Linked DNA regions of Drosophila melanogaster. The protein of the gene in region 1 interacts with the protein of each later gene in a pairwise test. Each region holds a gene or a part of one and is shown in the gene's direction. Other genes may lie near its edges. The genes, in order: CG13721, MtnB and CG13227.

Evidence for each region.
Region 2: the proteins of CG13721 (region 1) and MtnB interact in a two-hybrid assay, tested with the Drosophila melanogaster proteins (one large-scale study listed by BioGRID).
Region 3: the proteins of CG13721 (region 1) and CG13227 interact in a two-hybrid assay, tested with the Drosophila melanogaster proteins (one large-scale study listed by BioGRID).

The regions. Positions count from the first base shown.
Region 1 is NT_037436.4:4,496,242-4,499,619, reverse strand, and holds CG13721 (uncharacterized protein), read left to right. Parts: upstream 1-1,842; 5' UTR 1,843-1,961; coding exon 1,962-2,214; intron 2,215-2,344; coding exon 2,345-2,412; 3' UTR 2,413-2,737; downstream 2,738-3,378. Other genes in the region: CG13720 (uncharacterized protein), read left to right, coding at 1-645.
Region 2 is NT_033777.3:20,502,470-20,505,243, reverse strand, and holds MtnB (metallothionein B), read left to right. Parts: upstream 1-1,625; 5' UTR 1,626-1,713; coding exon 1,714-1,738; intron 1,739-1,799; coding exon 1,800-1,906; 3' UTR 1,907-2,142; downstream 2,143-2,774. Other genes in the region: Or92a (odorant receptor 92a), read right to left, coding at 1-449. UniProt on the Drosophila melanogaster protein: This protein binds cations of several transition elements. Thought to be involved in metal ion homeostasis.
Region 3 is NT_033778.4:11,233,433-11,236,414, forward strand, and holds CG13227 (uncharacterized protein), read left to right. Parts: upstream 1-1,819; 5' UTR 1,820-1,857; coding exon 1,858-2,220; 3' UTR 2,221-2,323; downstream 2,324-2,982. Other genes in the region: CG13218 (uncharacterized protein), read right to left, coding at 1-272; CG13228 (uncharacterized protein), read left to right, coding at 571-978; CG34223 (uncharacterized protein), read left to right, coding at 2,428-2,524, 2,585-2,772; CG13217 (uncharacterized protein), read right to left, coding at 2,835-2,982.

The DNA.
Region 1 (3,378 bases):
AGACTTTTCAAACAGCACGACAAGTCAGCAGAGCGGGAAAAATTAAAGGAGAGGCGGCGCAACTTCCGGAATAAAGAGGCAACAACCACAACAGCAGCAACAACCAAGGCGACAACGACGACAACAACAACCACTGGCAAATCAGTGTTTTCAAGTGCCAATTCACTTGCGGAAACTTCCGCAACTCCGCTGGCCAGTCGCCTGGTGAATTCACGCAAATCCAAATCCAAATCGCCAAATAACAACCGCAATAGCAACTGGGGCCGCAACGATGACTCCATACTCTATGCGGATGTAATGACAAATATACGCAACTTGTGGCAGGAGCACGATCAGTTGGCGGGACCAAGGTTTATTGCACCTGACGAGGTGGCCAACAATACGGACTATCGCACCTTGGACGTTTATCTCAAGCAGCTGGATGATTTGGCCAAAAAGCTACCCACTGTGGCTCCCATTAGTGGTCTCAACAAGGAGGAGCTGCAGCGAGCTACGCCAACGCCCAGTTGGTACTTGATAAACTCAGAGGGAGGGATCTTTGAGACCCGACTGGATAGTCAAACTAAACCCTCGTCGTCCCTATTTCATCGATTCCCCGACATGCCCAATCAAAATCAAAGTGTGTCCACATTGGACTTGGAGTAGACATTGCTCTTAAAGTTTTAAGCTAGTTGTTACTTATTTATTTACAAAGAATAAAGTATTATTACTGCAACGGAGTTAGAAATGAAAATTTCTAAATGGCATTTACGTTAGTTTTAATTAAATGCAACTTATATAATTATTAAGTTATTAACAAGTAGTTAACTTATTAACCCTGCAACTCTTCGCCTCAACTCCTCCAAAGCTACATCTCTGGCGGATTCTTGGTGGCCAACCAAGCATTTAGCTCCGCTAATTACAACAACTCCCAACTCTCAAGTCACAAGTTCTTGGCTAATGCGGCAATTTAGATAAGCCCTAGCTGGCAATTAGCCCCGAGCTTGAATCCAAGCTGCCAAACGTGCGAAACGCATTGTCCCAAGCCCTGACCCCGCCAGACATGCAAAGTTGTGAGAAGATTTTCGGCAATTAGGCAGGTACATGGAAATTGAGTGGCTCAGATGAAGCGGAAGAAAATCTGACCTGACCTCTCTTACACGGGAAATATGTAGATCTGTCGGATCTCTCATTCAGATAATACTTGTTTTGGTTTCTGATCTACGTAATAGTTTTGCGGGGATTCTTGGAACATTTTCATTTCCACAATCGTTTTTTTTTTTTTTTTCGCTACCAAGTCTGAAGTTTTTGGGCGTCGTTTTTTTTATGGGATTAGAATGTTGTCCGGCCACTTTGACAAAGAATTATTTAATTTATAGAGCGTGTGTTGGGTTTTTTATGATTATTATTTGGTGTGTTGGCGGGACGAGCGATAAATTAGAGTGGATCGATAGCGAAGAGTAGAGAAATCGGTCTACATTATGTAAGCAAATGAATTTCTGGCCTTTAAAGAAAAGAAGAGGGGCACTGCCCATTGCGACATTGACCCCACTGATCGCAGCCAGCGGGCTGAATTGGTGGCGGAGTGGGCGGTGGGTGGTAAGAGAAAAACAGGCAAACAAACATTGGTTGGCCCAAAGCATTGTAATTAGTAGTCGGTCATGCAAGAAATAGAAGCCTCCCACCAACCCCCCTCTTGGCCAATTCATTGATGTTTCGGAGGGGGTTTTCTTTGAATTGTTAGAAGCACACGCAGCTGGAGTCGCCCAAATTGAAGGGGGAACCGTTTTTCGCTTAGACAATTGTTTTGTCGCTGCGCATTGATGGCAATGCGGCGTTGCAAGAATCGCTTTTTGGCCATTATAAAAGCACAGTGCACGTTTCCAGCGTCAGTCAGTCAGTTTTTGTAAGCCCCGAGTGGCATTTCCATTTCCAATACTTTGTTGTTTGCCCAAAGAAAATCCGCCGAAATACTCACCAAAATGTTCCAAGCCAGAACCGTTTGCCTGCTGCTCGCCCTCAGCCTTTTGGCCATGTTCTTTGTCGGATCTGAGGCCCTGCCACGCCCACAGGAGGGTCGTGAGGAGGGCGGCGATCAGGAGGCGAATGTAGAGGCTGAGGAGAAGGATCTGGAGGGAGCTGCATCCTTTGGATACGGATACTACTCGTCACCCTACTTGGGTGGCTACTACGGCGGATATTGGCCACATTACAGCGGCAGTTACTACGGAATTGGTAAGATTATAAGAAGAATAGAGTAAAAATATTTCGTTCGGAAATTCGGGAAATTCGTGACATGGAGGATTATGTTCTAATTTTGATAAAGATCAAAACGGGTATAATCTTTGAACTTACTTACTCGCAGGTTATCCATACTATGGAGGTTACTACGGATTGCATCATCACCATGGGCACTATGGACACTACTTCTAGGAAGGGTTCTTAACCCAACCAGAAATAAATACTTTTACAGCCTCAGTAGAACTCTATCAGCACCAGACATCTATCAGCACTAGAAAAAATAGTACATTTAGTAATAGAAGCCGACAGAGAATAGCCATTAATAGCCAGCACTAGACTCAATAGCCAGACGATGCGTTCTTGACCGGATAGCGAACAGATTAACTGCACTGCCCCTTGGGCGAGGATAATTGCTTCAATAAAGCATAAAATCACAAAAAAAAGAGTACAACCAACTAAATATTACATAAATAAATGTTATACTTTGTACAAATTAATGCCTGCGTGCTTGATGGCTACTGTTGATTGTTTTAATTTTACTCCTAGCTCTTTATTTTATGCCATCGTAAAAACCTCATGAAGCGAACAGCTAATTTGCAATTCAAATGGAGCTAAACAAAAATTGGCTCCATATCGTTAGCCTAATCTAATTAATAGGGGTTTTATTTCAGAAGCAAATTAACTGTACAAATTGGCAAGAACTTAAGCGGACGTTAGACGTAAAAGTTTGGTAACAAACGACAGAAAAGTACAAGTAATCTTCGGTTATTTGATTCCTGTTGTACCCCTCGGCGTATGCGTAATTTGTGAGTGGAATACCATAAATCTCTTAAGGCGAGCGAGCATTGTGTAAGCCAAGTGTCTCAGATTCTCAAAATAAACTCGCCGAACGGTGCTGCCCAAGACTATTTGTCTTGATCGGATTTTGACAGGCAACAATCGGATATTGGAAGTCAGACATCAAGTCCGAAAGGTCACGGAAGCGACGGACAATGGACATCTAAGATTAACGGCCGGCAGACGGCGGCGATGGTGCGACAATAATCGTTTGATTTCACAGAGAAACTTTAGCATACATTTTATTCAGTTGATCTAAGGTCAATCGGTAGCCGAGAAACGAAACTCTCCGTTTGACCTCTGTGCATTGACACTTTTCTT
Region 2 (2,774 bases), on another chromosome or scaffold:
ATGGTGAATAGGGTCATGACCCTGTTCATGTGTTTCCGGTAAAACGATACGTTATACTTCCGCTGCGCTTCTAAATCTAAAGGAAATATCTCCTTGAGATCATCCAGCAATCTGACCAATCGCTTTCTATTCACTGTGAGACCGAACTGCTTAAAGTCGGCCATGAAGCTGAAGCCAATGCACGGTGCCACTGCAGTGGCCTCCAAAAGAGTAGTCGTCGACATTATATGGACTATAAAGTACGCGATTTCGCCCACCACATAGGCATTGAAGTTGAGAAAACCGAGTACCAGATAAAAACGTAGCAGGTAACGCCTTATCACATTCGGATCCCTATCGGAGTACAGATCCTCGCCGATGGTCTTGTAGAAAGTCATCGGAAACCGGGTAAGTTCGTCGAAGGTGATGACTTCATCGTCACTTTTTGGCTTACGTTTGCGGAACAGCATGATTCAGCTGTTTGATCGGCTGACAGAATAAGTCTTAGGTTTATATAGCTCCCATCAAAAGTGTCCCATTAAATTCGCATGAGACACCCTTCGCTGACCTCATAATTACTTAATTTAATTTGGGGTAACGGAACACCTGCCACTTGACTTTCTAAAATATTGAGTTCTACAGGAATGTTCCCAGGACTACACGGAGAAAAATCGAAGGACACTTTGGGGACGAGAGGATATTCATGCAATTTGTGGTAAGGAACTGAAGTCATACTCTAACTGAACGGTGCTGGCTGGTCAAGTTATATATGTTTATGTGATGTTAAATATAAACCTTGTGGTCAACACAAGCACAAGAATCAATTATATATTCATTATACTCGTTAAAGATATTTTTTTTTTAAGGTAAGGTAAATAAAATGGTAAAAAAGTAAAGGTAAAAAAACTAGCCGAGTTAGAGACTGCAGGAAACTTATCTAAGTCGTTCTTTTGTTGCAGGTACACCTAGCAAAAAAAAAAACAACTAAGTCAGGCCTATTTCTATATTTGTTCTCGAAAACTTTTTTTTTACTAAAAGTCATAAATATATATAAAGTTGTTCCGGGTGTTTGGTTTTCCGTGCAACGAACTGTTTTCGTAGCTCCCGCAGAGCTTATAGTTTTTGCCTAATTTGCAGCGCGTTTTTTCCTCTATTAATTTTTAGTTAGCTTTCCACATGTGATATTTTTATGGCATTTACGCTGGGTTTTTTTTGAAAAGAGTTTAGTCGTAAAGCGTTTTTGCAGCCAATATGAGCATTTAAATTTGTTTTACTACAGGAAAGTCTTTTATTTATTGTGAAAAACCCCGCTGGGTAGCTGCCTGCGCTTTTCATGCTTTTTATTGTGTGCTTCTGGGCTGTGGGCTGAGTCACGATACGCGGCGTATACGCAACGTATACGCAACGTGGGCAGCTGATAAGCTGATGAGGAGTTCGTGTGCACCGAGTTGGCGAGCAATCGCGTGCGCAAAAAGAATTGCCTGGCCTATCGTCTGATAAATTGCGAACCACTCGCCCCAGACTTGCACACGACGTGATAAGTTGGGTCAAACAAACAAATTTGTTTTGGATTTGTGCAATTTTGCACTCGTTCGAGTTCGAGGCAATCGAAGTGGGTATAAAAGTGGGGGAGTTGCCGGACTGGGTCATCAGTTGAATAGCCAAGCAACAAGCAAACAAGTGAATATCAGTTCGCCTCAGCCAAGTGAAAGTCGAGAAATAGATACATACAAGATGGTTTGCAAGGGTTGTGGAACAAGTAAGTGGTACAACGCAGCAGCAAGCTGTATAATTGACAATCGTTCTCGATTCCTCGACAGACTGCCAGTGCTCGGCCCAAAAGTGCGGGGACAACTGCGCCTGCAACAAGGATTGCCAGTGCGTTTGCAAGAATGGGCCCAAGGACCAGTGCTGCAGCAACAAATAAGCGGGCCAACTATATAACTAACTGTTTAACTTCTAAACTGGAGCTTAACTCCCAACGAGTTGGCCGCAATAAATAAAGTTTATAAAGATTTTGAGCATTTAAAAGTTTCTGCCGTTAACTTTTTGTTACTGGGCGGTCGGTCATCTTACCAAGCGATAATTATATTTTCGGCTTTTGGCAGCTAAAACCAATTATGGTAAAATAATAAACGTGAGCTGGCATTCAGTTAAGCAAACCGCAAAATAGAATTACATGAAAAATAAGCAAACGCAATGCGACAATTTGGGCGGGATTTGCAAATATTTGTATGTTCGCGGACAGCTGCACCGGAATTAAAATCCAATCCATCAGCCGTGATTTTGGTAGAAAACTCACCGAAAGTCCATTGAATTGTGCGCAAAACGGAACATAAATCGAAATAACATTCAATTTTCGTGGCCATCGAACTGAAACCAAATTATTTAGCCGCTTTTATCTGCGACTGAACTTTGCCCATATGCCAATGGCCGAAATTGCAACCCACTTTGTTTTGAATATAAAATGTATTTCGCTTTTGAGGCAATTTCTCAAAAATGTTGTGCCGATTTTATTGCATTTTCAAAAAATACATATATATTCTGCTCTACTAGCAGCAAATTCCTCCAGCGTTATGTTGGGTTTAATAGTCTGCCAATGGAATAGATACGTTTTGTATCGGCCAAATAATAACTTTCTGGCCAAGTTTTATTTATTTAATAGCCTGCTACTGCTACCCATTTCACACACTTTTGTTTAAAGAGCGGTCGAGCTTTCCATTCGAGTGGCTAGGCCTGAGTTTCCAACTGTCAAAACCAAATGACCAATTAAAATACAGGCACTTGTGGACAAT
Region 3 (2,982 bases), on another chromosome or scaffold:
CCGCCACCAATGAATCCACCTCCACCTGCTAGGCCAAGAGCTTGCGGCTGCTGTTGGATGAGGGGCACCTGTTGCACGACGGGAACCTGTTGGACAACGGGCACTTGTTGCACAACGGGAACCTGCTGGACTCCTCCGATGCCACCAACTCCGCCAATGGCTGCCACTCCTCCAACCGCTCCGATTCCACCTCCTCCCAGGGAATGGGCTTCAGTCCGCCAAGCGCCAATTGCCAGTAATAACAAAAAATGCACTTGAAGATCGCACCTCATCTCGGCTGAGTGTCCAATAACGATGTGAGTTACCTTAACTAAATCACCTGGCTTTTAATGCCCAGGCCGGCGACCTTCAGACCACAAACGATGACGATGATGAGGTGTGAACCACCTTACCAGTGGGCAAAACCATGATTCCCCCAATAGAACCGCCAAAACATAGATGGGGCCTTAGAGTTATGGGTTTTTTACCCGGGCGCCCCAATATGCAAATTGGAAGTGCAAACAGTGGCCACTAATTAATTTGCATAAATAAGCAGCTGGGAGTGGGGCAGACCAAACAGTTAACCCCATCATGTTGTGGCAAACTGTCTACCTGCTCGTCTTGGCGTGCGCCGTGGTCAGCACCACACCGATCCTCTCCAGCGTCGACGAGGAGAACATTAGAAGACCCCGTCACATTGGTGGATTTGGAGGTGGCGGAGTCGTTGGAGGCGGTATCGTGGGCGGCGGCATCATCGGAGGCGGAGGAGTTGCTGCCCCCATAGTGGCAGCCCCCGCTATCCAAACAGTTCCCGTTGTGTCCACTGTGCCCATCATCACCACTGTTCCCGTCATACAGACGATACCCAGCTATGGCTACGGATATGGCGGTGGCTATCCCGTTGGAGGAGGATTGGGCGGACTAGGTGGCATCGGAGGCGGCGGATTCGTTGGCGGCGCTGTGGGTTTTGCCAAATTCAAAGGCGGTTTCTTTGGCTAGACGTTTCCGAATAAATCTGAGCGTTTCTTGAGACCCTCTAGTGTAAACAATGGATAAACAAAAAAGTACTGCAAGATCGAGTTTCATTTTGCCGAGTGTTTGGAATCGACAAAGTCGATGAGCTTGCATATTCCGTAGTTAACTGGCTGTTATTTCTGGAAGAGTCTCTCGCTGCTATTTGCTTCCATATATATATGTACATATGTATGTCGAATATCGCGCGAGGCGAGGCGGATGGGCTTTTTAAGTGGTAAACAACAAGCCATCAAGCGATTACAGTGGGTCAAGTTGGCTGGCCTGAAGAGCGGTATCCAATTGTGGGTTATCGGATTGCTAATTGTAGTCTTTATCGACTTTTGTTGATTTGTCTTGTCATGTCAAGAATGTTCGTCTCAAATGGTATCTGGTTACTTGGTACTTCAAATATGGATCTTAAGAATATATTTTACTCTGATTATTATTATAGTAACCTTGCATCATTCACAGTTAATTATCTACCCATTATGATCTCAATCAGTTGCACATCGAGTTACAATCCAAAGAGATCTAGTTTGCGTTCCACGGTTGCCTCACACTTCCGCATCATAATTCATTTTATATACCCATTAAGATTGGGTCAACCTTATGTATTTGTATAAGCGATTTTTTGGGTTTTTCAAACCGACGATTATTCTCGGCGTCTTTGCCTGACTGCGATTGAAATTAGACGAAAAATGTAAAAAAAGACACTCAATGGCAATCAAGAAATGCCAATGAACTGCCTTTGTTTATGACACCAGGTGCTGGGTGTTCTTGGCAAATGTTTGGCTATAAATTAAAGCCCAGCTGGGCGATGAGTTTTAGTATTTGACGAAGTTGGAGAAGGAATACGACATCGAAATGGATCACAAGTGGATAATATTTTTCTTCAGCATTGCTGCTCTGCTCTTATGCAATTTTGTTAGAGCCGATGAAACGGAAACGGAAGTGGTGCAGGAGAAACCAAGCTCTATTCAGCTGCTGGACGCCGGAGAAACGGCCCAGTCTGATTCCACAGACGAGAACGTTAGGAAAGTGCGCCAGTACTTTGGACCACCACCGTTTGGACCACCGCCACCACCCTTCTTTGGACCACCTCCACCACCGTACTACGGCGGCGGCTTTGGTGGCGGATTCGGCGGTGGTTTCCAGAGAACTCGAGTGGTCACCCGCACCCGTTACCGCGGACGCGGTGGTTACTATGGCGGTGGATTCTACGGCTAATCAGTTTGCATGGATTTGATTGTGCTTGATTGTGATTTGTGATACTTCTTTTGTGCTGCCCCATTGGGTGCAATAAAATTGCTTGCCTTATGCAAGTTCATCCAATCGCTTGTTTTTAAGAGTTTATTAATAACACGTTCGATTTATGGCGGGGAAAGCTGAGATCGGAGGTGTTTATAAGGGGGCCACGAGGCTAAGCTGCAGAAAATGTTCCGCTTGCTGCTGCTGTGGATCACTGTGGGGCTGGTGGCAGCTCTGGATGAGCGGGAATTCGATCCGCAGGTGGCACCACCTCAAAGTTCAGGTAACGTGTGTTATTTTGTTATTTGATTATCCTAAAATTCTAATTTTATTCCTTTTCCAGTTCCAAAACCCTTTCAGCTGTGGCGAAGTTTTGCGAGTCATGTGCGTCTTGTCTTTAGTCGTCTTCAACCTAAGTCACCAACTCCGCCCACCGTTAGGACCAAAACGGGTATAACTACCACCACTCCCGAACCTGAACTGCAGTTCTATGGAGCTCTGAATCCCATATACCAAACAGGGAACTTTTAATGTTACTTAACTAAGCTTTATTACGAAACTCTTAGACTATATTTTGGGTGAGTGCTGTTGCTTTAGCGGAACTTCTTGCCGAATAGGCTCTTGAAGCTGCCAAGTCCACCGAAGCCGCCGCCGAAACCGTGTCCTCCAAAACCACCGCCAAAGCCGTGACCAAGACCACCGAATCCTCCCTTCAAGCCGCCGAGTCCTCCAAAGCCGCCG